2 linked regions of the Pelodiscus sinensis genome follow. The protein of the gene in region 1 interacts with the protein of each later gene in a pairwise test. Links are inferred from orthologs where the notes say so. Each region holds a gene or a part of one and is shown on either strand. Other genes may lie near its edges.

Region 1 (16,098 bases):
TGAGATTGCCCGCAATGGCATGTGACCCATTTGTGACTGCTCGTTGCTCATATTCTCAACAGCCAGAAATGACACACTGGAGGAGGAGAAGGGCTCTGAGTTACTAAAGAGAATTCTTTCCCAGGTGTTCATGCTCAGGGTTCATGTTTGGGGTTGGGAAGGAATTTTCCACTAGGTCAGTTTGGCAGAGACCCTGGTGGTTTTTTGCCTTTTTCTGTTGCATGGGTCACTGGCTAGTTTAAAATAGGGTAAGTGGTGGATTCTTTGTAACCTGAAGTAGTTAAATCATAATTTGAGGACTTCACAGTGTCAGCCTTAGGTTATTGGTCTTTTATAGGAGGGAGTGCGTGAAGGTCTGTGATGTGCAGGAGGTCAAGCTAGATGAGCATGGTGGTCCCTTCTGGCCTTAAAGTCTTTGAGTCTATGAGAGAGGACTGGGGACATCTAGAGCTAACAAGCAGGAGCTGCAACAGTTTGAACCAAAGAGTAAAGTCTCTTTAACTGTGACTGTGACAGACTCATGCCCTCTGTGGAGCAAGCACAGTGGTAGACCTTTAACACATGTTCACCAGTGGGTTACCTAGACTTGAGCCCAGTAGCTGAGGAAATGTAAAAGATGCTCTGGCCAGGAATTTGTTCACAGCATGAAAAAGATTCTATATCTGGGAGCACCAGGGCATCCATTGCTATATTTGTTAGTGAGTTCCTAGAAGGCACACGTCTCTATCCCCTTCCTGCATCTCTGAGGTGGCCAGCATTCATATGGGCCTTTGCCAGAACAAGCATTGAATGATTGGATTCTTCACTGGTGTCTTGTACAATAATATCCATATCATGCTAGGATCCAATCTCAACATATTTTAAGTTAAAACTCATTGAAATGAAACTAGGTTTAATGGGGCCAGATGACCAAAACCCACAGGTAAGTGAAAAACATGGAAAATTGGGAGATGGTTCAGAAAGGGGAAGGAGCATGGGCTATAATAATAGCAGAGATAAAGGAGGGACAAGGCAGAACTGGGGAGGCAAAATCAAATCAGTATCTTAGATGCCTATATACAAATGCTAGACGTGTGGGGAATAAGCAGGAAGGAATTGAAGAGCTAATAAATAAACACAACTATGATGTAATTGGTATCACAGAGATTTGGTGGGATAATACATATGATCGGGATATTGGTATAGAAGGGTACAGCTTGGGGTAGGTTTAGAAGTTAAAATAAACAAAGAACAAGTTAAAAATTAGAAAAGTTAAATGTCTTCAAGTCACCAGGGACTGATGAAATGCATCCTAGAACACTCAAGGAGCTGATAGAGGAGGTATTTAAGCCTTTAGCTATCATCTTTGAAAAATCATGGAAGTCATGCATGATTCTAGAAGACTGGAAAAGGGCAAATATAATGCCCATCTATAAAAAGGGAAATAAGAACAACCCAGGAAACTACAGACCAGTCAGTTTAACTTCTGTGCCAGGAAAGAGAATGGAGAAAATAATTAAGGAATCCATCTGCAAACATCTGGAAGATAATACGGTGATAGACTCATAGACTTTACTCATAGACTTTAAGGTCAGAAGGGACCATTATGATCATCTAGTCTGACCCCCTGCACAGTGCAGGCCACAGAATCTCACCCACTCCTCCCAGAATAATCCTCTCACCTATATCTCAGATATTGAAGCCTTCAAATACTTTGAAGACCCCAAGATGCAGAGAATCCTCTAGCTGTGATCTGTACCCCATGCTACAGAGGAAGGCGAAAAACCTCCAGGGTCTCTGCCAATCTACCCTGGAGAAAAATTCCTTCCCAACCCCAAATATGGCGATCAGCTAAACCCTGAGCATGTGGGCAAGACTCATCAGCCAGACACCCAGAAAGTTCTCTAGTAATTCCTATCATCCCTCCATTGACCTATTTCCCACTGATAATGAATGGTCAATTAGTTACCAAGATCATGTTATCTCATCAAACCATCCCCTTCATAAACCCATCTAGTTTAATCTTGAAGCCAGATAGATAGGTAACAGTCAGCATGGATTTGTAAAGAACAAATCATGTCAAACCAATCTGATAGCTTTCTTTGATAGGATATCAAGTCTTGTGGATAAAGAAGAAACAGTGGACATGGTATACCTAGACCTTAGTAAAGCACTTGATATGGTCTCGCATGACCTTATCAATAAACTAGGGAAATACAACCTAGATGGGGCTACTATAAGATGGGTGCATAACTGGGTGGATGACTGTTCTCAGATTTATTAATGGTTCACAACCATGCTGGAAGGACATAACAAGTGGGGCCCCCCAAGGGTCTGTTTTGGGACTGGTTCTATTCAATATCTTCATCAGTGATTTAGATGATGGCATTGAGAGTATGATTATTAAGTTTGCAGATGATACCAAGCTGGGAGGGGTTGCAACTGCTTTGGAGGATAGCGTCATAACTTAAAATGATCTGGACAAACTGGAGAAATGGGTTGAAGTAAATAGGATGACGTATAATAAGGACATATGCAAAGTACTCCACGTAGGAAGGAACAGTCGATTTCACACATACAGAATGGGAAGCGACTGTCTAGGAAGGAGTACTGCAGAAAGGGATCTAGGCGTCATAGCGGACCACAAGTTAAACATGAGTCAACAATGTGACACTGTTCCAAAAAAAGCCAACATGATTCTGGGATGCATTAACAGGCCATCATGTGCCAGCAATGACCCTCTGCTATATACATTGGCCAAACTGGACAGTCCCTACGTAAAAGAATAAATGGACACAAATCAGATATTAGGAATGCAACATACAAAAACCTGTAGGAGAACACTTCAATCTCCCTGGACACACAATAGCAGATTTAAAGGTAGCCATCCTGCAGAAAAAAAACCTTCAAGACCAGACTTCAAAGAGAAACTGCTGAGCTACAGTTCATCTGCAAATTTGACGCCATCAGTTTAGGATTAAACAAAGACTGTGAATGGCTAGCCAAGTACAAAAGCAGTGTCTCCTCTCTTGGTGTTCACATCTTCACATTAGCTGCTAGAAGTGGGCCTCACTCTCCCTGACTGAATTAACCTCGTTATCTCTAGCCTGCATATTTATACCTGCCCCTGGAAATTTCCACTACATGCATCTGATGAAGTGGGTCTTTGCCCACGAAAGCTTATGCTCCAATACATTTGTTAGTCTATAAGGTGCCACAGGACTCCTTGTCATTTTTGCAGACTGACACGGTTACTCCTCTGATAATTAACAGGAGTGTTGTGAGCAAGACATGAGAAGTCATTCTTCTGCTCTACTGTGCACTGATTAGGCCTCAATTGGAGTATTGTGTCCAGCTCTGGGCATCACATTTCAAGAAAGATGTGGAGCAATTGGAAAGGTCCAGAGAAGAGCAACAAAAATGATTAAAGGTCTAGAAAACAAGACCTGTGAGGGAAGACTGAAAGAATTGGGCTTGTTTAGAAAAGAGAAGACTGAGAGGGGACACGATAGCAGTTTTCAAGTAACTAAAAGGGTGTTACTGGGAGAAGGGAGAAAAATTGTTCTCCTTGGCTTCTGATGATAGGACAAAAACAATGGGCTAAAATTTCAGCAATGGAGGTTTAGGTTGACCATTAGGAAAAACTTCCTAACTGTCAGAGTGGTTAAACACTGAAATAAATTGCCTAGGGAGGTTGTAGAATTTCCATCACTGGAGATATTCAAGAACAGGTTAGATAGACATCTCTCAGGGATGATCTAAATAGTGCTTGGTCCTGCCACGAGGGCAGGAGACTGGACTTGATGACCTCTCGAGGTCTCTTTCAGTTCTAGTGTTCTATGATTTTATTATTGTGATGTTACAAAGGGGCCATATTCTCTTCCCAGGAGCAAAGCCAGAGTAATGGGGCTTTTCCCAAGGCATTATTACATGCATGATAAGTGTTTCCCTTTGACACTCAAGAATGGATCAGTAGAACTTGGGATGTGGCTGCTACTAACATGTATGAAAGAAGAGGAGGACGCAGTTCACCAACATGTGAATTTGGATCTTTACTGTTCACAACCCATACTGTTTCCCTGTTCTTGGCATGTCCACATTCCACTCTCCTAGCAGGGACTTGCAGAATTCCCATACGTGGTATCTCTGCCTGGTCCTCACTGCAGCAGGAACATGAGATTTGATTTGCAATTGGAGCCTTGAAAGTGAATGACCTGAGGCCAAGATTTGTCTCAATGTTTATACAAGACATTGGTTGTGGGTTCGAATTATTCTGTTCCTCTGACAACTGCATTAATCATTTTAGAATTAAGAACATATCTAAGGTTGTCTGCAAAGCTATTTGACTGAGGTCCCACACTGTGTCGTCTCTTCTCCTCCCCCTGTCAGTTGGGATATGTGGATGTGAGGGTCAAGTCCAAGAACACTATGGGGAACAAAAGAAATGTGTCAAGAACTGCTGTGTTTGGGGAGGGATTATGGAGAGCTGTGGATAAAGATGGGCAACTTGTGTTATTTTTCACCCAGGGTGACTGTAAAGACAGAAATATCCTGATTCTCATTATTCCCACAGAGCTCTCAGTTAGCCTGAAGCTGCTAGTATTCTACACCATGTGACACTGGAATGTATGCAGTAAACGTAGCATTAGCATTTCATCCCATTGTTAGCAGGCCCTTTGCAGGTGCAAGTTTGGCAGCATTGTCTGGACCGCATGTGCAGTTTTCTCTGATTCACCTGCTGGACTGCAGCATTCCCCCAGGTGAACTAAGCAGAATCAGTTTATAAATCATCCTCCCACATTACATGTTTATGGGTTACCCTTCACAGAATACTCTGAACACATAACTCCACACTCAGTGTATCACAGGCAGGACGGATAATTTCACATGTACTATTTGCAAGCAAATCAAACTAGATTCAAATCTAAACAATTTTTTTTTACCAAACCCATGTCAGTATGTAAAACAAATGGTAAATGCACTTATCTGTGCTCAGCTTTTCTCTATACATTAGCTGATTAATCCTCACAGCAGTTTTTCCATTAAATTAGTGATTATTAGCCCATTTCACAGGCAGCAGAGTTTATGACATGGACAAAGCTATAGATGGAGTTGGTGTCAGTTCAGGGATTAGAACTTCCTTTGTTACTAATTTCTGTAATTAAATCACTAGACCATGACCGTTAGCCAATCAGCTTGATTCTGTTCTCACTTGCACTGATGTAAATCAGAAGTGAAACCACTTGGAGTGAAACCAGTGTGAGATCAGAATTAGGCCCATTGATTTCTTTAGAGTTACACTAGCATTAATATGGTCAAAATCTAGCCCAATATCTTTTCTAGTAAGAGGAGTGCTTCTATGCATTTGTAATCTGTAATAATAACTGGCACGTAACAGGATACAAGGAAATGGATGGGTAATAGACCCCAAAACCTGAAAATGACTCTAGCATCATTTCGTTACTAGAGTTATACAATGTTTCTCTGGCTTAAAAACCATGAGGTCAGTTATCCTTTGTAATAACAGTAGAGAACTTATGCTTCCATTTTCTAGCTGCTTTCAAGTTTTGATAATAATAAAAGGTCACGAATGTCCCCCATGCATTTATAAGTGATAATAGCCTGCTGTTTGTTATTCACAACTACATTCTAGTGTTACACCTACGTTATCACCCCATTAAGTAGAGGTGAAAACAAAAAAGATTAGAATACAAAAGACCTATGTTTAAAAGCTTACTGATCTAGAAATAACCCTGGAAACAGGAGAATATAAGTAGAAATCACTGAAAGATGTTGGGGTAAATTCAGTCAAAGGAAGTTACCTATTGTTTGTGTTGTAATAATGCCTAGAGATCCCAGTCAGGGTTGTGCTGGACACTGCACAAACAAGTGGACAAATCCAACACCCAGGCCAGGACAACCTCAGCCAGTACAGAATGGCCAACCCAGCAAGTCCAACTGGAGAGAGGTTGCAGACGTGGAGAGCTCCCAGGGTTCCACTGACAGGTGATGTTCCAAAAGTCAACAAGGCTCTCCTGGCAAAGAGCATGGCCAGATGCGCTGAGTCAGCAACTCCTCTCAAGCATGTCTGCTGGGGGGACTCCCACAAATTTCCCAGCAGAGATGAATTTGCCTATCCCCTGAGGGCAAAGCTCCCAGAGATGGAGACTCACCCCCTTTGAAAATGGGATTGATTCTGGCTCAATGAGTACAACATCCATTGCACCTGAATTTAGTCCCCAAATCCATTTATATGACACTCACTTTTTAGTCTCACTGACAAACCATTGCACACTACATTACTATATACACCTGAGTTCACCCACACCATGACCAAGCTAATTAAAATCAAAAGAATTGCCATGAATTTACACCTGCATCACAGGAATCAGATTCTGGACAGGTGTGGAAATCATTTTGTCGACATTTACAGCACAGCTGATTTTGGCCTGGTGTTTGTATGCTGCTGGAATGAACACAAACAGCAGATCTGAACAATGGGGATTTCTCCTGAGCCAGGATGGAAGGCTCAAATGCAGTATTATTGGACAAAATGGACCATTCATGACACTGACATGCTTCCCAGAGTTCAAGCATGTGCATGGAGTATATATCAAGGCAGAATCTGGTGCAATGAATTCAGGGCATTCAGAAAGGAGAATCTGACCTTTCATGTTACAATGGTGCATGGGACACTTCTGAGTGCAAATTAATAGGTTTAAAAATATGGTTTGACATTTTTTCCTGCAAGATCTTAATTTAAACTTTTAAATAAAACTATACCTATAGCTATCTATGCATCCATTACCAGGCCATAAGGTATATGTTCCATATCTTATATCTATTTATATTAATGGAAACAAATTAAGACAGGCATAAATTAGTATTTAGTGCCATAAAACAGACCAAATGCATGATATAGATCTATCCTAAGTGCCATAATGAAATCAAGGGACAATAATTCAGTAACGGAAGAATAAATCATACATCACCCCCAACTGGAATATTTCTTCAATTATTGGCAGTGAAAACAGCACATGTGTTGTACATACAAAGACACCCAGTTCAATGTGTAAGTATATTTTCACACACCCCTCTTCCACAAAAATAAGATCTGCATAGAAACCTTTTAAAAACAAGAATCTCAAAACGAAGCCCCGTGCGAAGCCACGACAAATCCAAATCGATAAATCTGTGCTGCAAGCAAATTAATCAGAGTAGCTCCTTCAAAATTGCTCTTGGCTTAGATGCACTTATTACCCCAAATGCTATTTCCCTGAGGCCCAACCCAGTATCTGGGAGTTCCTGACATCAAACTAAACCTTTCAAAAAAATACCTTTTTTTAAAACCACAACCGTCTTCAGTGCATCCCATTTTGTAACAGCAAAGGAAAGAAGATGACAAATAAATAAGGGTGGGGGGTTTAGAGCATGAGGTTAGCTAAGATGAATTCCTGGAACATTGTTTCACTGAGACTGCTGCTAATGAGCCCCCATATACCTTCTCCGCTCTCCATCTTTCTGTATCTCCAGCTCTCTCACTCCATCCCTCCCATCTCGCTCCAGCCCCTAAGCTCTCTCTAACAGCTCGGATGAAAGTCATTCTTTCACAAACATAGTAAAGATAAGCAGCACAACCAGATCAGAAAAAAACAGCAACAGCATGAGAAGAATGATCCTCGGCCACAATCATGAATATCAGCAATAAAGGCAGTGCTGGCTCACCATGTTGAAACCAGGAGAAGATGCTGAAAGGCAAGGGATGTGCAAGCTGAATCCATTTTCCCAGTTACTGAGGCTGCTTCAGAGCCCAACATCAGCAGCTGCTGGGATATTCCCCCCACCCCCTGCTTGGTGATGCTGAGGATGTAAACCGCCCACCCACCCGGAGCAGCAGCAGCAATAGCCAGCCGCCTCCCTCCTCCTCGGAGGAGGGTGATGAGCTCACTGAGCAGAACCTGGAATTGCAGAAGGCACTGCTGCCTCCTCCTCCCTCCCTTGCTGCAGCACGGAGCTCGCTAGGCTCCATGGCAACAGCCATAAAAGATGGAGGGAAAGGAAGGAGATGGGGGAGGGAAGAGCAGGGAGAGACTGAGGCTTATTCCCAGAAGCTGCTTCAGCCAAGAAAGAATCTCTTCAGTTACAGCTAATCACAAAATCACAAATGCTTGTCCCCAGGCAAAGCAGGAACCCTGTAGACACTAAAGGGCCCATTTCAGAGTTTCCTTAGCTGAGTGTGAAGAGCTGGCAGGTGAGTGTGTGTGCGCCAAGGGCATGAATCTCACACAGCAAGCGGGGCCGGTGGGCATTTGCTTGCCCATAACATGCTGTTCTGCCTTGGGAAGGGCAGGAAATGAGGGTGCAGTAAGGAGGACAGCAGGAAAAGGCAGGTTTGCAAAGGACAAACAGAAGGATGTGATGTGCTGGCCAAAAACACTGCAGTGTAAGGTGCAAAGCGGGGACTAGTACTACAGGCCGCTGGACCTTAGAGTACGTCTACACTACAACGTTAATTTGAACTAACTTAGTTCGAATTAGTTAATTTGAACTAACGGATCCAGACTAAAAAACTAGTTCGAATTAGCGTTTTGCTAATTCGAACTAGCATGTCCACATTAAGTGGACCCTGAACCAGGCTTAAGGATGGCCGGAAGCAGTGCCGGCAGGGCATCAGAGGAGGACTTAGAGCGTGGAGATGCTGTCTCAGGCTAGCCGAGGGCTGTGCTTAAAGGGTCCTGACCCCCACCCCGGACAGACAGTTCTCAGGGGTGTCCCGCTTGCAAAGCAGTCCTGGCTTGGATTGCCCGGAGTACCCACACTGGGCACATCACAGCACTCGGCCATCAGACCGGCTGCACTTGCCGCAGGCTGCCATCTGGGGAGAGGGGGCAATTGGGGGGCTGCAGGAGAGCTTCCACCCCCAGAAGCCCGCAGAGCCAGCCCAGACCTCCCCATCGGGGGCGCGTGCCCCATTCCTCCCTCACCTCCTTCCACTTACCCTTCCCTAGCCCCTCTTCTTGATGTACAAAATAAAGGACAATTGTGTTCAAAAATGGAATCTGTCTTTATTGAACAAAATTGGGGGAGACTGGGAAAAGGTGGTGGGAGAGGGGAAGAGAGAGGCTGGGAGAGGGGAGGGCAACTAAAATGATCAGGGGTTGGGAACAGGTCCCATATGAAGAGAGGCTAAAGAGACTGGGACTTTTCAGCTTAGAAAAGAGGAGACGGAGGGGGGACAGGACAGAGGCAGGACCCCGGAACCATTTTGGAGAGGGCAAAAGGGCACCAGCCCTTTCCTGGGGTAGGGGCTGGAGCTCCTTTGAGAGACATGCTTAAAGGGATCTCCCCAGACAGCCGTTTCTCTCCTGCTGTGAGCTGTAGGACCTCTTGCAGGGACTGACAGCCATAGCAGTTCTACTTGTGGTTGCCCTCTGCCTTGTTGGACACCACAGCTTGTGCCTTAGTGCCATTTGCTGATTTTTTGACTCCAGCTCTTTTCTTGTGCCATGGAGCCAGGGGTGGCCTTGTGCCTGCTCTGGCCCCTTCCGGCCATTTTGGATTGCCTGCAGCTGCTGCTCCATGCTGCTGCACTCATCGTCCAGGACCTCGAGGCGCAGGTCACTCTGGACTCCCTCACTAGGAAGGCTGTGGCAACCCTGTGGCATCCCCACCCCACCGTGGAGAGGCCCTTGTGGAGACTGGCCACCAGTACCGACTGGTGGGACCAGCTGGGTCCTGGGGCAATGGGACGACCAGCAATGGCTCTGGAACTTTCGGATGCGAAAGCAGACATTCCTGGAGCTATGTGCCTGGCTCGCCCCTGCACTCCAGAGAAGCACCACACGGCTGTGGGCACCCATCCCTGTGGACAAGAGGGTCGCCATTGCACTCTGGAAGCTGGCCACCCCGGACAGCTACCGATCGGTGGCACACCAGTTCGGGGTGGGCAGATCCACCGTTGGTGCCATTGTCATGCAGGTAAGTGCTGGGGGGGGGGGGGGGAGGAGGTGGAAAGGAGAGGGTGCTGCACTCCATGCCCAGGGGCAGGCAAGACTCCAGGCTGGGGCGATGGGGAATTCCTCGTCACCCAGGGGTTTGGGCCGTCCCTCCCTTGCATAGGCCTGCTTGTGGGAGGGTGTGTGTGTGGCCCGTGGAGCGAGGGAGCCCTGGTGTGTGTGAGGACAGAGGGCATCACCTTGCCTTATGTGATGCGTTCCCCTGTGTTATTGTGCAGGTCGTCCATGCTGTCAACAACGTCCTGCTCCAGCGAGTCATCTGCCTGCAGGACGTGGAGGCTATGGTGGCTGGCTTCGCTGCCCTGGGGTTCCCCAACTGCTGGGAAGCCCTGGATGCAACCCACATCCCATCCGTGCCCCAGAGCATCGAGCGGCCCATTTCATAAACCGCAAGGGGTACTTCTCCATCATACTCCAGGCCCTCGTGGACCACCGTGGCTGCTTCATGGACATTTATGCGGGCTGGTCCAGCAGGGCACATGATGCCCACATTCTCTGAACCTCCGGCCTGTTTGGCAGGCTGGAGGTGGGCGCTTTTTTCCCCCTGTGGAAATTTACTGTTGGGGACGTGCCCATGTCCACATGTATTGTGTGGGACGCAGCCTACCCCCTGCTGCCCTGGTTAATGTGGCCCTACTCGGGCCAGACAGACCACAACCGGGCACAGTTCAACGACCGCCTCAATCGGGCCTGCAACCAGGTGGAGTGCGCCTTTGGCTGTCTGAAAGCCCAGTTTCACTGTTTGCTCACCTGTCTGGAGATGGGTGAGCAGGCTGTCCCCAAGGTAGTGGCTGCGTGCTGTGTGCTCCACAACATCATGGAGCAGAAGGGGGAGTCCTTCTGCCTGGCATGGATGGCAGGCGAGGGCCAGGCCTTCGAAGAGCCCCCCACAGCTGCCATCCGCCAGGCGCACCATGATGGGGTACACATATGGGAGGCTCTGACGGAGATGTTCTCCCAGGCCCCACAGTGGGGTTGCCTCTGTTTCCCTTTACATCTCCCTCCCATCCCCAACCCTCCCCTCCTCCCCTCCCCATACCTCCCAATAAACAACCAACACAGGTTTTTTTTGGAAACCAACGTCTTGAACTTTTTATTTACAATGGGGGGACGTAGGGTGGGAGGGTGGAGGGGGGTCTGAACTGGGAGGGGGGAGGAGGCGCTGAACTAGGAAGAGGGAGGAGGCTCTGAACTGGGAGGGGGAGACGGCTCTGAACTAGGAGGGGGGAGGAGGCTGTGAACTAGGAGGAGGGAGGGGGGAAGGCGGAGCTACTGCTGGGAGGGGTGGCCCCTGCAACTGCCTCTGCGGGGGCGGACCACTACTTGTGGTTCAGGCTGCATCGGGGCAGGCAGCACGGGGAGGTGGGCAGAATGGGGTGCATCAGGAGGGGGCATTGTGGGAGCAGGAGGGGCAGCAGGAGAGGCCTCTGGCACTTGCAGCTCCCCCAGGGTTGGCTGGCTGGCTCAGCTGGTGGTGATCGCCCCTCAGTGACAGCTGGTCCAGCTGTGGAGAATAAAGAGGGAGAGGCGGTCAGTCATCCATGCAGACACTGTCCCTGGGGCCATGTCCTCTTCTGTGAGCTGTGAGCAACAGTCCTCGGGCTGGAGGATGGGAATGTCCTGAGAGAAAGGCCATGCATGGACTGGACTGCAGTCCCTGCCTCATAGGGGCTCTGAGGTGCTCATGGGACCATGCTGCCCGTTCCCCTCCTCTGTCCCATGGACAAGAAGGCAAAGGAAGTATCTGGCCACAGTGGGAATTTCATGGGCTGGACAGGGGCCTGGAGCAGCCTGGCCTTCCATGGGGGCTGCATACACACCTGCGCCTGGCAGCGCTGGCTGTGGGAGTGAGTGGTGGCTCAAGTGTGCAGGCATGCCCATGTGCCGTGTGCGTCACTTCTCAGTCTGTGTGTGTGTGTGCATGCACCCTTGTCCCCAGCTTGCTTCCAGCGGTGGCTAGTGGTGGGAGGGGGTCTCTCCCAGGGGTCAGACATGTGTGTGGCCTCCCCAAAGCCTGTGAGCAGGAGCCCGGGGGTGCTCCGGGGATGCCGTGGAGCCGTGAGGCACAGACTGGCGCTGCATGTGCTTCCATGTACATGGAGTGCAGCACAATGCCCAGGCTGAGAAGTCCAAACGACAATTGCTCCCCATCTCCTCTGCACCTGCCTCCACTGTGTGCGTGAAAAACTGAGAGCACTCACCTGATGGCCCCTCCCTGCTTTCAGAGAATGCCTGGGAGATATCCAGGCCCTGGAGTACCGGCTCAAGGGTGAGGGTGATGGTGCTGGCTGTCTGCTCTTCCTCCTCCAGCTCATCCTCATCCTCCTCCTTCTCCTGGCCAGGGAGCTCCAGGCAGGTGACAACAGGCATCTCTAGCCCTGATTCAATGACCGGGATGGTGAAGGGGCTGCACTACCCCCAGGGTGCGGTGTAGCTCTTTGTAATAGGGGCAGGACCCCATTACAAGAGCTGCACTCCCTGGCCCTGGTGTAGCCCTGCCAGAGCTCTTTGACCTTGCTCCTGACTTGCTTGAGGCTCTGGGGGTGGTGTCTTCTCGCGGCCAGGGCCTTGACCATCTGGACACAGATGTCAGCATTTCGACGTCTGGAGCAGAGATCCTGCAGGGACTCTTCCTCACCCCAGACATCTAGGAGGGCCAGGATCTCTGCCCCAGACCACAATGGGACACACCTTTTAGTGCCCCTGGCAGGCTTCTGGGAGCCCTGTGCATACTCCCTATGAGGGCCAGTGGGCTCTTGGCAGGGTTGAGGCTGGGCCATAGCTCTCTAGCAGTGTGGAAGACAGAGCCACCTGGTGAGTGCAGCTCCCAGGTCCGGCTTCCTGCCACAAGACTTGTACCGCGCGCCTTCAGCTTTAAGAGCTGGCAGGAGACAGGAACTATAGAGTTCTGATTAGTTTGGATGGAGTGGCCACCAGGGCACCTGTGTTATTTCCTGGAGGCCTCTTTTTTCGACAGAACTCCTTCTTCTGCATCCACACACGCCTTTTTCTGAAAAAGTTTGTTCGGAAAAGACATTCTTCCTCGTAGAAAGAGGTTTACTGTTGACTGAAAAACCCCTCCATACTTTCGAATTTTTGTCAAAAGAACGCAATAGCAGTGTGAACGCAAGTATTGTTTTTCCAGTATAACAGGCATTATTCCAGAAAAATGCTGCAGTGTAGACATACCTGAGGTGCTGAAATACCACTGAGCCCATCTACCTGCCTTTGTGGTGTCTCCCCACCCTGTCTTGCAGATCAGACCTCTGGTTTCCTCCAGCATTGGCAAAGAGCTAGGGTCACAGTCCACAGCAGAGTACAGAAATTGAGATAATCAAAAGAACTTGCCACGGTACCCAGGTGCATAGTTCCAATGGTGTCTAGAATCTAAAATAAAATTAGGTTACTCTGTATAAAACTGTATAAAAGCAAATTCATAAAATATTTGCCTCTTTTATCAATGAAAGAGAGATATGAACAGCTTGCCCTCCCCGCCGGTATTAATAATTATTTATTGGGTTTCTTAATAAACAAACGTGATTTTATTAAGTACTAGCAGAAATACCTGGCATTGCCCGGGGAAAATATAGTAAAAGGTGAGATGAATGAACACGTCAATAACATTAACATAGCATATTTTATTGGAAATACTTTTCTCTGATATATTACTTTAAGAAATTAACCAAGCTAGTGCTGTGCTTACAAAATGACAAATCCCATAGGGTGTCTTTTCTCAATCCCCACAAATCAAGAAGGCTCATCTTCTCTTAAAGACTCTGTGCAAACCAGTGCCTGCAGCCTCCTTGCCAGATGCCCTGAGAAATGGAGGGGATGTCTCCTGGGCTCTGCAGCAGCAGCAAATCACTGCTCCCCAAGTAGCCACTCCCCGAGTGCCTTCAGTGCACGCTCCATGAGGCAACCTGAATGGACTTCCTAGCCGCAGCTGGATCGGTTGCATTGATCAGACAAAGTAAAACACCTTCAGACCAGGTGCAATTAGTGCTATCTAGATGATCAGAACATGCAACACCTGAAAGTACCTGTTCTAATGAGAATAGGCTGTTGTGAGCATACCGTGTCCTCCTCAGGCTCCATGGTGCTCAAAACCTGGTCCTCCTACCCACCTCCTCTTTGTACTGTGAGCTGAATCCTGCAAAGTGCATAATGTCCGTGGCACTTGCTGATAACGCACACAGCCCTGCCAGGAGAACGCACGCAGCCCAAAGGAGGGTGAGTGGTGGGATGGCTCGTTTCGGTGTGGGGGGAGGGAAGCAAATGTAATTTCCAGAAGGGGTTCAGTTAGAGCCCGGCTGCGTGAAGATGTTGAGAGGCTATGATAGCTGGAGGCTTCTCCCAGCCACAATTAGCAAGGCTAGACCCTAGCCAGCATCAGCCACATTTGGGTCTGTCCTGGAGACCTGCTGGTGCCCTAGTATAGGGGAGGTTGCTAATTCTCTACCCCACTGCAGCCTCTCCCCCATGGGCCTTCCCTTGATGGTGCTGCAGGTACTCACATGCCTTATCCTCTAGGATCTCGTAGTTGCAGTTTATGTGACACGTTTAACAGAAGAGTCCAGCAAATGCTTATGATCAGGCGCTACTAAAAGCTAATTATCAGTGGGCCCAATTGGGGCTCTGGGGGAACTGATTTAGAGATACAAATAATTTAGTTATTTAAGTTAGGAAATTAGGAGTATCTGTGCAAAATTTGATGTTTCTAGCTCTTACCGTTTATGAGATCTTTCGGGACAAACAAACAAACAAACTTCCAGAAATATTTATAAGATAAAAGGCAGGATGTAAGTGGTTGCAAGTAATAGCAGACAGAGCAAGTAAGTTACTAAGTAAAATAAAACATCATATATCACCTAAGCCTAATACACTAAGAAACTCGTTATCTGCAATACGTTACCCTAACAGTAGTTCTAATCATCCTTTTTCACAAGCTGGAATGCCTCCCAGCCTGAGATCAATGCTTGCCCCTGTTCAGTCATAAATGTTTCCAGAAGTAATCTTGGGTGGTAGACAGGAATATCCTGGAATTTGGTATCAGCTCCTATTGTTTGGTTTTCCGTCTTTATATAGATTTTCCCAGTGTTGGAATCCTTTGTGATCAGTTCAAAGTTTTCTCACCATCTATGGAAGAGTGCAGCATCAGGGTTCCAGCATCAGGTCACCTGGCCCTATGTCCTCACAGGATCCACCCTGGTCCAGGCTTATAGGAAAAACAAGACTATTCACAGATCATTATCCCAAGTATTGGGCCATTAAGTTCCTGGAGGGCTGGCTAACCACCGACGGTTAGATTCTACTAATGGCCCTCCCTTAGCACATCTAGATTAGTAAAACAGGTTTATATTTTGTATTTCTAACTTCAAATACAAGACTGACACATGCACACAAATAGAATATACATATTCAGCAGATTATAACTTTTCTAATGGTATGTTACCTGAAGTATTTTGCATAAAGCATATTTGAGTTATGTCATATTCATAAGCATATTTCCATAAACAACATGGAGGGCAACATCACAGTTCCATTAACTTCGGTGGTCATATTCCTTATCCACTGCGCCACTGGAGGAGCCCCCCAATCTCCCTACCTTCAGGGCCCCCCTTAGCTGCCCTATGTCGCAAGGATCTTATGTAATCAAGATCAGGGAAAATTCTAGGAGCCAGTCAGTTGTAAATCTCAGATCTGGTTTAGACCAACTCCAAACTTTGGGTGAGGTGAGCAGGTCAGATTTGGATCAGTTTTTGTTCAGGAAAATCTTTATACGTAGTCATTTTGGAATAAAACAAACATGTTACATATAGTATCAAAAAGCCTTGGAATGATGCAGTATTTACTTCTACATCATCCTGCACAACACCTAGTGGATTGCACAGTAAAAATATACAACTGGCTTAAGAAAACATTTAGGCAAATAAATCACATCACTGTAGCTTTTTGAGCTCTCTCAATGTATTTAATGGGGCCACACACTAAATGAACAAGATAAAAAAGAAATAGCTACCCATTCAGTTAGTACTACTCTTCCCCTCCCCCCTCCACGGGGGAATTAATGAAGAAGGGGTCCTATGGCAAAAGTAGTATGTGA
Region 2 (15,455 bases), on another chromosome or scaffold:
TCATCAGTGCATGCAAGATTTCAACAACAATACCTGCAAGTGCCACAGGGACCTATGGGGAGCTGACGAGAGGGCAGATGGACAGCAAAGTGAAGAACCGATGTGGGTGGGGCGGGAGAAATGAGAATAATGTGTCCAGCCTGGGAAGGATGGTGGGGCAGAGAGGAAAGCAAATATCAAGGATGTGGCTTGGAGACTTGTGAGAACCAGGGTATGTCTAGACTATGTTTTTCTTTTGAAAGAAAATATGCAAATTCAATGTGAATTTACACATCTTCTTCCGATCACTTTTTCGAAAGAGTTGGTTTTTTTTTTCCCCGAAAAAGCAAGCAGTCTAGATGTGGTTCTTTTGGGGAAAAAAAACCCTTTTTTGAAAGAATGCTGTAAACCTCATTTTTTGAGGAAGAAAGGTTCTTTTGAAAAAGGTTTTTTTTTTTCGAAAGAACTGTGTCTAGACTGCTTGCTTTTTCGAAATAACCTCTTTCGAAAATGCAATTGGAGGATATGCAAATTTGTGCCGAATTTGCATATCTTCTTTTGAAAGAAAAATGTAGTCTAGACATGCTCTGGGAAAAGGAGGAAAATGTTGAAAGGAGAGAAATGGTAGATGGGAAATGAGCAAAATGGAGGCTGGCGACTTCAGGCAGAACACTGTGATGTCTGATTCAATCCACATGACATCTAGGCTATGTCTAGACTGCAAGCCTCTTTCGAAAGAGGCGCTTTCGAAAGTATCTTTCGAAAGAGCCTCTTTCGAAAGAGCGCGTCTAGACTGCACGTTGAACTTTCGAAAAAGCGGCTTGCTTTTTCGAAAGAAAGCATCCAGTGAGTCTGGATGCTCTCTTTCGAAGAAGCCCTATTTACATTGAAGAACGCCTTCTTTCGAAAGAGGAACTTTCGAAAGAAGGCGTTCTTCCTCGTGAAATGAGGTTTACTGCCATCGAAAGAAAAGCTGCGTTCTTTCGATTTAATTTCGAAAGAACGCGGCTTGAGTCTGGACGCAGGTGAAGTTTTTTCGAAAAAAGGCTACTTTTTTCGAAAAAACCCCTGAGTCTGGACACAGCCCTAGAGTTCAGGGACAGGAGCAGAGAAAGGCAAGACCCAGGAAGTGAATTTCTCTTCCAACTCTACATCATGGTACTTCACCTTCACCAGCAAACAACTCCCTGTGCTGCCCTCTCTGAAATGCTGTGAGAGCTGGAGCAAATGATTCTGGGATGCACCTGAAAGGGACTGATTGCATGTGGCTGAACGTGCAGTATCTGAAGAATGGGGTATATGAGAAATGGCTGAGAAATGATGAGACTAGGATGGGGTGGGGAACCTTTTGTAGGCTGGAGGCCACTGACCCACAGAAGTCAGGGGCAGCACACAAGTGAGGGGGAAAAAAAACCAAAAACAAGTCCTCACAGATGTGGGCCTGACTGACAAGGAGAAAGACACTCTCCACATTCCCCTTACACTCCAGAGTCTTGGGGGGCCCAGCCTAGTAGATTTTGTGTGCTCCAGCCCCGTGGTGGGGCAGTGGGGAGGGGAGAAGCTGGAGCACCAGTGTGGACTCCCCAATGTTGGGGGGAGGGGGAGAGCATGAGCCTCAGTGATTGGATCTAGGCAAGCCAGGGGCTGCATCCAGCCCTCCAGCCCGAGGTTCCCCACCCCTGGACTAGGAGTTCAGTTTCTGGCTGATTTACATAGAATTTACTGTGTCTGACTGAAAACCAGCTGTTGGAAACTTCTCTTCGCTTGGAAGAGAGACTGCACTGAGCCAGCTATTTTCATCCTTGTTATATAATGACGCTGGAAATGAAGGTGCTATTGTCTCGACCGAATTCCTGCCAGTTGACATTGAATTCTGACACTGCAGTAAAGCCTTTGAGGTCACTTGATTTAAGCAGAGATAGGAAAACTGTGACAGATAAAATTAGAGCTGACTGGAATCTTGGAAACATGTGCCACATAGTTGAACTGTGCCCCTTGTTGGGAGCCTCTAGGGAGAGGCCAGTAATTGAATGGGGTTTGGAGCATGAGCTTCCTAACCTCCACCTCAAAAGTGTAGTACCTAAGGAACTGGGTTTGAGGCCACAAAATGAGGACAAGGGTTATGGTAGGAGCATTCATTGCCTGTGGTAATACCTTTTCTTTGGATAAATGGAGATATTCAATCCCTCTGGCCCCAGTCAGTCAGCAACTTTCACTTTTTAATGAAGAAAAGAAATACTGAGTTTTGCCTGCATTTGAAGTGGCCATGAATCTGCAGACCATCCATTTTTGTTACGACCTGCCATTCCCTTCAGGAAGTTCATGCCAGCCAGTTTGTGGGGTACTTGATGTTCAAAGTACAGATTGGACTTCCCTGGTCTGGCCCCCTCAGGTCTTGACTGGTCCTGGATGCGGGATTTTGCTGTACCAGGGACGGTAATTTCTGGGTCCCAGGCCGTGCCCACTTCTGCTAGGCTGCCCCAACAAGCTTCCTGGCCCCTCAGGCAGCCCAGCTGGGCCAAGTGCTAGCTTCCTGACTCCTACTCCCCCTGCGCTGCATGGCTCTGCATTCTCCCGCCTCCCTCCCTTCCTCCCCCATCCAACTCCCAGCTCTCCCCCACCCCCGCAGTCTGGTGGGACACTGATCCAGAGAGTCCTAGTTTAGAGAGATGCAGCCCGTACTGACATTCAAGTATTTGCAGCACAGAAATAACAGCTCCATTATTAACATCGTCTCTCAATTCACCCTAGCTACAGCCAAGCTGAAAATGCCTCTCTGATAAGGAAAAAGATAATCAGGCATTTGCAGCCTCATAAAAATGAATCCCTAAGGTGGGATCTCAGAGTGATGCTGTGACCATTGTGATCCTGGGATGCTGAGGAATCTAAATTAGGAGTAGAAAGGTTATTTTACCTCTGTATTTGTCACTGTATTTGACCAGAACTTCTTAAAGTTGTTTAAATAGTGACATTAGGATATTCTCTGACTTATTATTGATGCCTTTCCTAATGGTTCATAACTTGTTAGCTTTTTTGCCGGCTGCTGCATATTGAGCAGATGTTTTCAAATACCTATTAACAATGACGCCAACATCTTTTCTTGAGTGGTAACAGCTTATTTGGATGCCATCATTTTATCTGTATAGTTGGGATTGTGTTGACCAAAGTGCATTACTTTGAATTTATCAACATTGAATTCCATCTGCCATTTTTTGGTCCAGTCATGCAGTTCAGTGTGATGCCTTTGTAACTGCACAGTTAGCTTTGGACTTACAAAATTAATTATGATCGCTATCTTCTGAAAACTTTGCCTCCTGAATGTTTACCCCTTTTGACAGATCATGTATGACTGTATTGAACAGTTCTAGTCACAGTACAGATACTTGACGGACCCCGTCATTTACCTCTCGTCACTGGGAAACCTGACAATTTATTCTGACCTTTTGTTTCCCATGTATTAAGCAATTACTGCTCCATGAGAGAGCCTTCCCTGTTATTCCATGATGATTCACTTTGCTTAAGAGCCTTTGGTGAGGGATATTGTCAAAAGGCTTACTAAAAGTCCAAGAATATTATAGCTACTAGAGCACCCTTGTCCACGTGTTTGTTTATAACTTCAAATAATTCTAATAGATCGGTGAGGTATGATTTACCTTTACGTAATCCATGCTGACACTTCCCCAATGTATCATGTTCATCTATGTGTCTGATAATTCTGTTCTTTAGTGTAGTTTCAACCAATTTGCCTTGTATTAAATTAGGTTTACTGGCCTGTCATTGCCAAGATTGCTTCTAGAGCTTTTTTAAAAAAAATCTGTGTTACAGTAGCTATCTGCCAGTCATCCGGTACAGAAGCTGATTTGAGCAATAGGTAGTATACCACAGTTAGTAGTGCTACAATTTCATACCTGAGTTCTTTCAGAGTTCTTGGATGAATACCATGTGGTCCTGGTGACTTATGACTGTTTAATTTATTAGTTGGTTTCAAACTTTTCTCTACTGACACTATAAATCTGGGTCAGTTCCTCAGATTTGTCACCTAAAAGAACAGCTCTGGTGTGGAAATCTCCCAGACATTCTCTGCAGTGAAGACCTATACAAATAATTCATTTAGCATCTGTGCAACAGTCTTGTCATCCTTGACTGCTCCTTTAACATCTCAATCTTACACTGGCCACACTGATGGTTTGGCAGGATTCCTTCTTCCAATGTACTAAAAAAATTGCTGTTAGTTTTTGTATTTTTTGCTAATTGCTCTTCACATTCTGTTTTTGCCTGGCCACGAAATGCTCCACGACCCCCCAGGAAGACTGACCTAATAACAGTCTGGTACATAGAGCTGAAAATGTAGACCACAAAAAAGTAAGGGTAATAATAAACAAATGCTAAATAAGGTCACGTGTCTGGCCAGAAGGGAGGGTGCAGGAGGAGACTTGGAGCAGGGTGCTTGGCCAGGAGGAAGGGTTGAGGAGGGGTCTTGGCAGAATATCTGGCCAGGAGCGGGTATTGGGGCAGGGTGTCTGGCCAGGAGGGAGGGTGCAAGAGGGGACTTGGGGAAGGGTGTCAGAGCAAGCTGGGAATGTGGGGTCTTGTCATGGAGAGGGGAATGAGGGGGGTTTGGGTGTGGGGTCTGGGCATGAGGGGGGACGCTTACCTGGCTTGGTACCCTGCTGCAGCAGGGAAAGCCTGCAGGGAGCATGCTCTTGTTCCTGGGAGGGGTGTGTGTGTGGAGAGAGCTCAGTTCCACACCGCCCATGCAGCGGGGAACCCAGCGCAGCTGCAGCAGCAGCACCAGGCCAGGCTTCCTGCTGGCGGGGGGTGGGGAGGGGAAGGGGAGAGAGGAGAAACCCTGACCATCCCCGCCAGATTAAACTTTGCCATTTTCCCAGCAGGCTGGGGAGGGAAGGCGCAGGGGAGATAGAGGAGCAGCACATGAGGGGCAACAGAGCCCAAGACTGCCCCGGGGGGGGGGGGGCAGCAGAGCCCAAGCGTGCCCCAGGTGGGGGGGGGGGAGCAGAGCCTGAGCTGGGTTCCCTGCAGGCAGCAGTTTTAAAATGCTATGGTGTGGGAACAGCTCCTCTCCTCTGGGGTGGGGGAGCAGAATTTTTTCTTTTCTCTCCATGGCACTGAACACAGTTTAAGAAACGCTAGTATAGATATTTAAAAAGTGTATTAGAGAGGTACCCAAACAATATTCGGATCTGACTTGGATAACTTTGGGTGTATCTGGAATTTGACCCTGTTCAGGGTCACAGCCTACTTCTATTTGAATCGTGTACTTTGGGAGTACCTCTGATGTGTTCATACACAATAATAACCATTCAAATTACTTCAAGGGTAAAAGAGTATATCATCTATATGCAACACACATATCTAGCCATCTTGAACAGCAGTCAAGGTATTTGTTTCTTGTAGCTACTACCCAATTTAAAGAGTTATCTGCAGGTGGTGGGTAACTCATGTCTGTATAGCCCCTTTCTGAGTGACTGTTCAGTTCAGAGCTAAATGATAATATATTGAGGTGACCTAGTGTTTCCTATTAGACCAGATTTCTGCATGCATGTGACGGGGTATATCAACCCCACATTGGACTTGTAAGAATTAACCAGGGCTCCCTGACTGAAAGAGCCCCCGCCCAGCCCTTGTCTGCCCCCAGCTGGCGGGCAAATATCAAGGCTGGTGGAGCAACTCAGTCAGGGCTGACCACTGGGGAAGAAGGTGCTGCCAGATCTCTGGAGGAAGAGCTGTGGACGGACCGACCCATGGAGGCCAGACAGTGGGGAATAGCTGGAGAAGCCCCCAGTCTGAAGGGAAGTGGCGAAGGAGGCTCCTTCGGTGAGTCTGGTAGGAAGTAGCCAAGGATGGGGAGACAGATCCCTGAGAGCTCAGTGTGTTTCAGGTGAATTCTCCGCTGAACTAGTGGCAGGCCACCCCGTCACTGACAGGGCTCTAGACTGGAACCAAGTCGAAAGGGTGGGCCTGGGTCCCCCTACTCCATCCCCATTAACCTCCAAGGGGGATGCAACAGTGACTGTGATTGCTAGGCCTTACTGCCCTGAAAAGAGGGAGCTTCTTACTGACTGCAGCCACTAGGTCTCACTGCCCTGAGAGCAGGGAGCGTTGCTACAGACTCTGGCCGTGAGGTCTCACCACTCTGAGGAAACGGGGCAATTACAGACTCTGGCCACAGGGTCTCACTACGCTTGAGGAAGGGGGTGTTTTACTGACTGTGGCTGCTGGGTCGGACTGTCTCAGGGGAGACGGGGTGTAGTTATTGTTCCTGAGCCAAAGGTACCGATACACACATGGGGTGCGGCACTCTTTGGGAGGTCTTAGAGGCCTCGTGCCCTGCCCCTAAAGGGGCTAGGCATCCTGACCCCAAGACAATGGAGTAAACATCTCTTTTGTACTTGGCACAGAATGATGACAGACTTTGGAATAATTGGTCTAGTTCAGTGATCCCCAAACTTTTCACTGTCATGTCCCCCTTAGTTCTGTCTATGCCCCTTCCTCACACCTGAGAGTGGGGCTGCAGCTCCTGCAATGGAGGACAAAGGAGACCAAGGCAGAGGCCACAGCTGGGGGTAGATATGGGGCCTAGAGTGGGACTGAAGCCAGAAATGGAGCTGCGGCCAGGGAACAAGGTTGGTGGCAGAGCCAGAGCCACAGCTGGGCCCATGGCTGGGTGCAGCTCTGCTCCAGTTCCTGTCCCCAGCCTAAGGCCCTGGCCTGGGAACAGAGGTGTGGCCTAGGGCTGAGAATGAGGGTGGTAGTGGAGCTGCAGTCAGACCATGAAAAGGTTGCCAGATGGTTTAACAAAAAATATTGAACCCCCCCCCTCCCCCCAAAAAAAACATGCTGGGAAAAAATTCTGACGAGGAAAAAAAAGGGGGGGGGAGGGAGACCAAAGTTAAGCAAAAAAAAGGGGGGGGGAGGCCGAAGTTGTTAAGCAAAAGTTGCACCACTCTCTCCAGTTTGGGGCCACAAACTAACCCCTAGTGCACCCACCCCTCCCCCTGAGCCAGGAAACCCCAGCGCCAGGAGCTCCCCGCCCCAATCAATTCCCCCTCTCCCCCATGCAGAGCCAGGCACCGGAGGAACGGGACGGCTGGGTAAGTTAATCTGACTTTTAAAGTCGCTGCTCCTGCTGCTTAGCCTGGCTGCCTTGGCTCACAGTGTATAGATGGAGGCATCACGTGGCCAGCTCTCGGGTCTCTGCTGGTCACGTGGGCCAGAGCAGCGTGCACTCTGCTCCCACCCCAGCCCGGCGCTCCCCCTAGCGCGGTGCCCGGCAAGTGCCCTCTCCTGCCCCCCTTCGCTACGACTCTGCTGCGCTCCTCACTCCCCTGCCCCTGCCAGATGCAGCAGGGGAAAATTGTCCCCGCTGGGCTTCCGTCTGAGGGAATCAGGAAATACCAAACATTTCACGTGTCTGGTATTTTCTGGTTTTTTATTTTTTAACCGGACGGAGCCCGCAAATACCGGACTGTCCTGGTGAATACCGGACACCTGGCAACCCTAGACCATGCTGGGGGCCAGCAGCCAGGCACATGGCTGGGTGTGGAACCGCACTCAGGCTGGGATGGGGCCAGTCCGGGAGCCTGGTTTATGGCTGGGAGTGGGTGGTGTTGCAAAGCAGGTGGTGCTGCCTCCACACTCCGCTGTAGGGGCTGGCCTGGGCCCACTGTGCCTTCACTCCCCAGATTGTTCCTCCATGCCCTGCTAGGGGTGTGTGTTTGACAGTTTGGAGGCCTCTCGTCTAGATCCTTATTTTTAAAAATTGCATTTGGTTTCATATTAGTTTGTGCTGGGCCTTTTAAACCAGCAGTTTAATTTGTAACTAGTGTTGTCCCTATAACTTGGAAAAAACAGTCCATAATTCAGTGTGAACAATAATATCTCAACAGGCAGAAATGTATATGTGATCTTTATAAATTGGTGGTTTTTTCCAATGGGTCTCTTGTATGCTGTTGAATGTCCTGGGTCTTATGGGCCTAATCCTGATGGCTGTACACAACCCAAGCAGGGATAGTTCATAGGTGACAGGGAAGAATGGAATCACCTCATCACAATCCACACAAGTACTGATATGGTCAACATCACCACACCATGAATTTATCCTCACAACTGCCCTGCAAGTCTTTCAGGCAAAACAGTGGTAGGCCAGACTTACCCTTAAAAAAATCTCAAGTAGAAGAAAGCCCCTTGAGGCCTTTATGCAATGCCTCAGAGAAAAACAAAAATGAGCAGTTGAGCTAAATTAGCAAAAGGATCCTGAAGGTTTCCATCACTTTATCTAACATTAGTTAAAGATTTGCCTTTTGTAGGGAACCTAACTTATTTTTGCTGATCCCTTTGAGCAGTCACTTATGATGGGTTTCACTGCATACAGGAGGGACACTGTGTGGGGGGACATGACTACTCAATCAAGAGGATTGGGAGTTACAGCAACTGCCTAGATGTGCTTCCTGGCTTCCACCTTGCCTGAGATTTCCTATCTTGTATGTCAAAGCCCAGTCCAACTCCTTTGACCTTGTGAAGGTTGAGAGACCGTGGCAGGGTTAGAAACTGAAATCCTCTATTTGTCAACAGAGCCAGTGCAGTTCAGGCAGATGCAGTTTCAACTTTTCCACTCTCTCTTGCCAATACTCTAGTGTACAGCACAGACTTTCCATCCTTCCCCAGGAGTGAGAGGTGCTGTGAGCTCCTTGTACAGAGACTGTTTGCTGAGGTGGCAGCCTGCAGATTACTCGCATTTGCAGAATGGTTTCTGTGAAGTGAGACTGCTGCCAGGTAAGAGACCAAGCAATGAGGATGAGTACTGAAAACCTATTTTGATTAAGACTTTAGGTTAGGACATATACCAAGACATCTTTAATATTATAATCACCATCCTCAATACTGGAATTTACTTAAAAATATCGGGTCATCCTAGAGATGATTTTAGTACCATGTGCATTGCATTGTTCCCTTCCCTGTGGACACAAAGCCATGCTTTTAATGAGTGTTTACATGGCAGCACAGCTGTTCAGACCAGCCAAAAATGTCTGGTATTTTTATTTATGGTACAAAAAATGTATCTAAGTCTCAGTACCACAGAAGACACCTTGACAATGAATGGTCAGATTCCATTAATGCAGGAGACAGTGTTCTAGAAGCAGATTATTTACCACATCTCAGAGAGAGAAATTTGCAAGATAAATACTCATGTTTTTTTCAGCAAGATTGTATTATTCCTTTTTGATTTGCCATATTCTTTTCTGGATTATTTTAGTTTTCCTCTATTAGATCCTGTATAGCAGGTGGCAATTTGCTACATGGACTGTTGTCTAGCAGAGTGTCTAATGATCAGAGTAGAGAACTGAGTGTTAGGACTCATCAGTTTTATTTGCAGCTTATGCACTGACTCAGTGAGCATGAAAAAACTTAAAAAACAATACCTAGTCTTGCAGCATTTTAGAGACTAACAAAACATGTAGATGGTATCATGAGCTTTTGTGGGCACAGCCCACTTCCTCAGATGAATGAACTTGGCTATCTCATTGAGCATAAGAACGGCCATACTGGGTCAGACCAAAGGTCCATCTAGCCCAGTAGCCTGTCTGCCAACAGTGGCCAGCACCAGGTGCCCCAGAGAGGGTGGACCGAAGACAATGATCAAGCGATTTGTCTTCTGCCATCCTTATCCAGCCTCTGACAAACAGAGGCCAGGGACACCATTTCTATCCTCTGGCTTATAGCCTTTTATGGACCTAACCTCCATGAAATTATCTAGCTTCTCTTTAAACTCTGTTATAGTCCTAGCCTTCACAGCCTCCTCTGGCAAGGAGTTCCACAGGTTGACTACACGCTGTGTGAAGAAGAACTTTCTTTTATTAGTTTTAAACCTGCTACCCATTAACTTAATTTGGTGTCTTCTAGTTCTTCTATTGTGGGAACTAATAATAGCATGGACAAGGGTATCACATAACTTTTCTATGCTTTGTGTATCCTCCTCTGTACAGTGGGGAAAATGCATACTTGCATCCCAAAGTTTTTGTGAGGTCCAATGTGATATAATGTTCTTTGACATTTTCAGATGATGAAAAGAGCCATGTTAGAGCCAAAATACTGTTAAAAGTTTATAGTCAAAAGAGCTAGGAGAGAAGTATTCACCTCTTGCCCAGAATCCCCATCCTTATACTGACTATATTTGCAGGCATACACCAAAAGAAAGAAACTCTCAACAGGCTCCGAGGTAGTAGAGATGGGAAACCTATTTGGTCAGTGTATCCAGTCCTCTGCCATTACAGGGTTTGATTCACAGTAGAGAATATATGAGGTGTTAAACGTGATACTATGCTTGAGAGGAAGGTGGGGCTGCAAAGTGGAAACTGTCCAATAAGATTAACTTCTTTGCCTAACATTTAAAAGCTGTCTAGCTGGTACAGATTTTAAGTTGCGGGCTGTATAGTAAGTCTCAGCCCTGTTATCTGTAGGATCTATGTGCTGCTGGAGGAAAGGCAGGAACATCTGGTTCACAGCATTGTAATGAGTGCTTTGGGGAAGGCCATGGTCCGTATTAACTGGCCTTGGCTTCAACTGGGGCTTGAGGTCCAATAGTAATAATCGAGAAAAATGATAGAACTGATGACAATGTCTGCAATGTCCAAAGCTGTTAATTATACAACTGATTAAACAGCAATTCAGGCCTCATAGAAAACTTTTAGAAAGCATCTTATCAACAGGCAATGTTGCCTCTTTTTTAGCATATTGGTGCAGTCTTGACAAAGCAATAAATTAAAAAATAATATATTCCGTATTGCATCTTTCATATCACTGACTGCCTAAAAGGCATGACAATGTTAAATAATGCAGTCATAGGGTTAAATGTAAGCAAAGAGAGAGTCTGAGTGGTGGGAAAAGATACTTTGAAATGAAGTTTGTCAATACCATGGAGACCAGGAGGCTATTTCTGGTGGCAGAGGCAAAGCGAAAGTTTTTGAACGAACAGGGGTGAGACTGTATAAAGGGACAGAGAATAGGCAAGTGTAAGAGGAGTGCAGGAGACTGATTTTATTCTAGTATGAAATTGTTGCTAGGTCTGTCATCTTTGTTCCCTACTCCTGCCACCTATTCCTCAGCTGAAGTCACAATCCTGTGTTTGTGACATTGTTCTTGTAATTATTCATCATAAATGGCAGTGGGTCTGTGATGAGAAGTTTGGATCCTGATCCAAAATGTTTGGATGCTGTAACCCAGAGTTTTGGTTTGACATGGCCTAAAAGTACTATGACAACTTCCATGTCTATGGAGAAGACGCAGGATCTTATGGCTAGATCCACAATAGTACTTAGGGACCCAACTGCCTCTTTAGGAGCCTAAGTCCAATGTTAAGACACTGCTGATGTTCTCACATCCATTGCTCAGCTGCCTCTTGACCCCAGAGGGACACAGTTTTCACCAGTGGGTGTGTGCAAAGTTGCCTAAGCACAGAATCTGCCCACAGCTGAATAGCTGCTCAGGGCCTCACTGAAACTTAGCATCCCAAAACAGGATTCTCAAGCAGATGTTTCCCCATCTCTCTTGCCTGTGGGGATCAGTGTTCTCAGTGCATGCCTACAGGATTGAGGCCTTCACATATGACAGCTGGGGTGAGTTGGGTTTTTTCAGGATCAGGCGTGTGTATCCTTGTCCATGTCCCAGCTCTGAACACTCACTTGTACTGTGAGAGACACAAGTTCACATTTGTACCCTAAGGACTAAATTATTTATACCATACCAATATGAGAACTTGAGGCCACTTCAGAATAATCCATAGTCCAGTGGCCAGGACACTTATATGGGAGACCAGGATTTAGATGAGTACTCGAATGGGGTGAGGTTTTTTGAGAAACCTGGCTTTGGTCACCTAATTCCAGGAGAGGTTCACAGCTGAGAAGTGAAGATAAGTGCCTCCCTCTAGCCCATCAGTCAGATACCCAGATCAATGGGAGTTAGGAACCTAAGCACCTTTATGAATCTGGGCCCTTTCCTCTCAATTTCTCTTCTGGCAGCCTTAGTCATTCCCCCCCCCTTATCAGCATGTAGGCTTCTATGAAATCCTTTCTCAGGCATCTAAGTCTCCCCATGCTTAACTCAGGGCTGAGGTTCCACTAGGCAGCAGAATACCTAAGGATTAAGTGTTGCAACATGCAGTATTGCAGCGTTTAAGTACAATGGTGGAGTTAGCCCTTAAAAGCTAACGTCTTGTCTGGAAGGAGCACTCAGACACTAACCCTGGATGGAATTAAGTTTATCTGGCGAGGAAAGAATGGTTGAATCAGCTCTAAAAGAGTGTCTTTTCTGGACGTACTGGCAACTCCCTAACTGGTGATACAAGATGGTTTGAGCAAGTCATTCACAAAGTAAGTGGTTGGCATCCACAAAGGGACTTGGGCATTGCAATGCTGAGCCTCACAATGCCTTGCTTTTAGGCACAGGAATACACTGCATTCCACAAACCCTGAGCTGGGCACCTAGGCTCCAGTACAATGAATGGGGAGAGACAGGCACCTTAGACTACAAACCACAATACCCAGCATGTTGAGCAAGGAGCCTCCTAACCCGCTTTTTTTGAAATAACAAGTGGAGCATCCACACTACCAAGCCCATTATTTCAAAACAACAGGCTGGTTATTTTGAAATCTGTACTCCTGCTTTCCTCGGGGAATAAACTTATTTCAAAATAGATATTTCGAAATAATTTCCTAGTGTAGACATGCTCTAAGCTAGCCAATGGGAGATGCTGGTGAGGAGTGTAGGCTAAATCTCGCTCCTCACTTGAAGACAGGTGCCTATTTCTGCCTGGCATTTCATGAATGGGAACTGGCTGCCTGGAGTCAGATAGCTTGGGCAGGTGAGATGTGTTTTGCAGAAATGAGGTAGGTGTCTGCCTCACGCTACACAAAATAATACAGAAAAAGATGGCTAGTGGGTACATACTTTCCTTCCCCCCAACACTTTTAGCTCAGTGGTTTGAGCACTCATAGAATCATAGAACCATAGAGCTGGAAAAGACCTCAGAAGGTCATCAAGTCCAGACCCCTGCTCCAGGCAGGACCAATCCCAACTAAATCAACCCAGCCAGGGCTTTGTCAAGCCGAGACTGTCAAGCCTTTGTCAAGGCCATCACCTCTAGGGATGGAGACTCCACTACTTCCCTAGCTAACCCATCCCAGTGCTTCACCACTCTCCTAGTGAAATAGTTTTTCCTAATATCCAACCTGGACCTCTCCCACCACAACTTAAGACCATTGCTCCTTGTTCTGCCATCTGTCACTACTGAGAACAGCCTCTCTCCATCCTCTTTGGAACCTCGCTTCAGGAAGTTGACGGCTGCTATCAAATCCCCCCTCACTCTTTGCTTCTGCAGACTAAACAGACCCAACTCCCTCAGCCTCTCCTCATAAGTCATATGCTCCAGCCCCCTAATCATTTTGGTTGCCCTCTACTGGACCCTCTCCAATGCATCCACATCCTTTATGTAGTGGGGAGCCCAAAACTGGACACAATACTCCAGATGTGGCCTCACCAGAGCTGAATAAAGGGGAATAATGACATCTCTGGATCTGCTGGCAATGCTCCTTCTAATGAAACTGTAGATGAGTCATGGGGTGCGATCACCCCCTACCGGGCGGGCAGGGAGACTCAGCGAACCCCTTCATCCTCTAACCAGGCCCCCAGCCGGGATTCTCGGTCGTGCGTCCCGTAAGCTGGGTGCGATCACCCCCTCCTTGCAGGGCAGGAGAGGGGGGTTCAGCGGCCCCCGTGTCTATACCCCGCCTTAGCAGGGGGGAATGGGCTTGCGCCCCGATTCTTGCCCCTCCGAGGGGCGATGCCCTGGCCAGCCCTGCCGTCCGGCCGCCACAGTTCGCACGTTTGTGTGCGTTCCAGTTCTGAAGGGGCTGGGTGCTCGTGGGAGGTTGGGAGGGGGACCCGGGCCCACCCTCTCTCCGGGTCCCAGCCCGGGGCCTTAAGTGCAGGGGCTCGCGGTCATCCCTGCACGGCAGACGGGGGGTGTTTCCTCCCGTAACACATCTCCCTACTGTTGCCAGAAGGCCCCACCCCGGGCTGATTCCTCCCTTCCCCTGGCCCCTGGAGTACCCCTGCGCTTACCGGGATTCTGGGCTCCAGGTCTGAGGTCGTTCCGCAGGAGTCCCGTGGGTCCTTCTGTTCCCGCGGATCTTGTCCCGGCCGAGCCGCTCCTTCCATGGGCGGCGGGGTTTGTCCTGGTCATCCTCCGACCTGGGGCTGGCCAGCCGCGGGGGCCGTCCCGGGAGCCCCTGGGTTAGGAACGGGCCACCTGCCGGTCTCAGGCACGCACCCGGTCGTCCTGGGCCCCGGTACGTCTCTACCTCCCTGGGAGGAGGCTGCCCCCCTGCTCTCTGCTGGTGGGCCTTTTTAAAATGGCCCGCTGGGCCAGACACGATCTGGAGGCCCCGCCCCTTCGATGACATGGCAGCTCCCCCAGCCATGTCGCAGCTGTCACTCCCTGCAACAGCCCCTCCCTGAGCCCTTCCGGGGGAGGGGCCAGTAGCCTCCCACTGGCGCAGGCGCGGTGGCAGGTTCCGGCCCCGCCGCCACTCTCCGGCAGCCCCGCGGTGCGGGGGGGGTTCTGCCCATGGCCCCGCTCGTCTCCCGGTGGCTCTGGCTGTTCAACGTGCGGGCCGTTGGCGGCCTGTCACAGCAACCTAATATGCCATTAGCCTTCTTGGCTACAAGGGCACACTGTTGACTCATATTCAGCTTCTCATCCACTGTAACCCCCACGTTCTTTCGGATGTGGGTGGCCCTGAGAAATTCCTCTCTCAGGCAGAAGGGGAAAAGGATTGGAATAGAGGTCTCCCTCGGGAAAGTGCTCTAATCCCACTGAGCTGTGGGATATTTTTATGGTGCCGGGCTCCCTTAGTCTTTCCTGGTGAAGTTGATCCACTGTGTGGACAAATAACGAATGAGTGACTGGAGCAGGGGAGCTGGGTCTCCCACATCCCAGATGGATGCCCTAAGCATAAGGCTATAGAAGAAGTATCTCTTTCTTGCCTCACGACTACTTAGGTATTTATCCAGATTGGACCATTGGAGCAGGGGGAGAGGAAAAGAAAGACACAGAGTCTGTAGTCCAGTGGTTAGGTAAACCCCCCTACCCGCACGTGAGGAGACCTGGGTCCAGTCCCTCTGCTCTGACTTAGGTGTCTAAATCTGCCACCTAAATGCCTTTATGGATCTGCAGCTAAATTGTTCTGTAACTCAGCTTCTTCCCCATCTAATACTGGGGTAACAACTGCTTCTCAGAATAACTGACTTGCAGAGAACTTCCACTACATGCAAGACGAAGTGGGTCTTTGCCCACGAAAGCTTATGCTCCAATAAATCTGTTAGGGCATGTCTAAACAGCAAAGTTATTTTGAAATAACAGCCGTTATTTCGAAATAACTTTCCTAGCATCCACACAGCCA

What was found.
Region 2: the proteins of JAKMIP2 (region 1) and CLIP4 interact in binary tests that used the Homo sapiens proteins (3 or more experiments, as listed by UniProt). The two-hybrid records come from large-scale screens. The link is inferred for Pelodiscus sinensis from reciprocal best matches to the Homo sapiens genes JAKMIP2 and CLIP4.

Annotation. Positions count from the first base shown.
Region 1 is NC_134727.1:20,178,604-20,194,701, reverse strand, and holds the start of JAKMIP2 (janus kinase and microtubule-interacting protein 2), read right to left. Parts: upstream 7,819-16,098; 5' UTR 7,705-7,818; intron 1-7,704.
Region 2 is NC_134713.1:160,481,005-160,496,459, reverse strand, and holds the start of CLIP4 (CAP-Gly domain-containing linker protein 4), read left to right. Parts: upstream 1-8,653; 5' UTR 8,654-8,772; intron 8,773-15,455.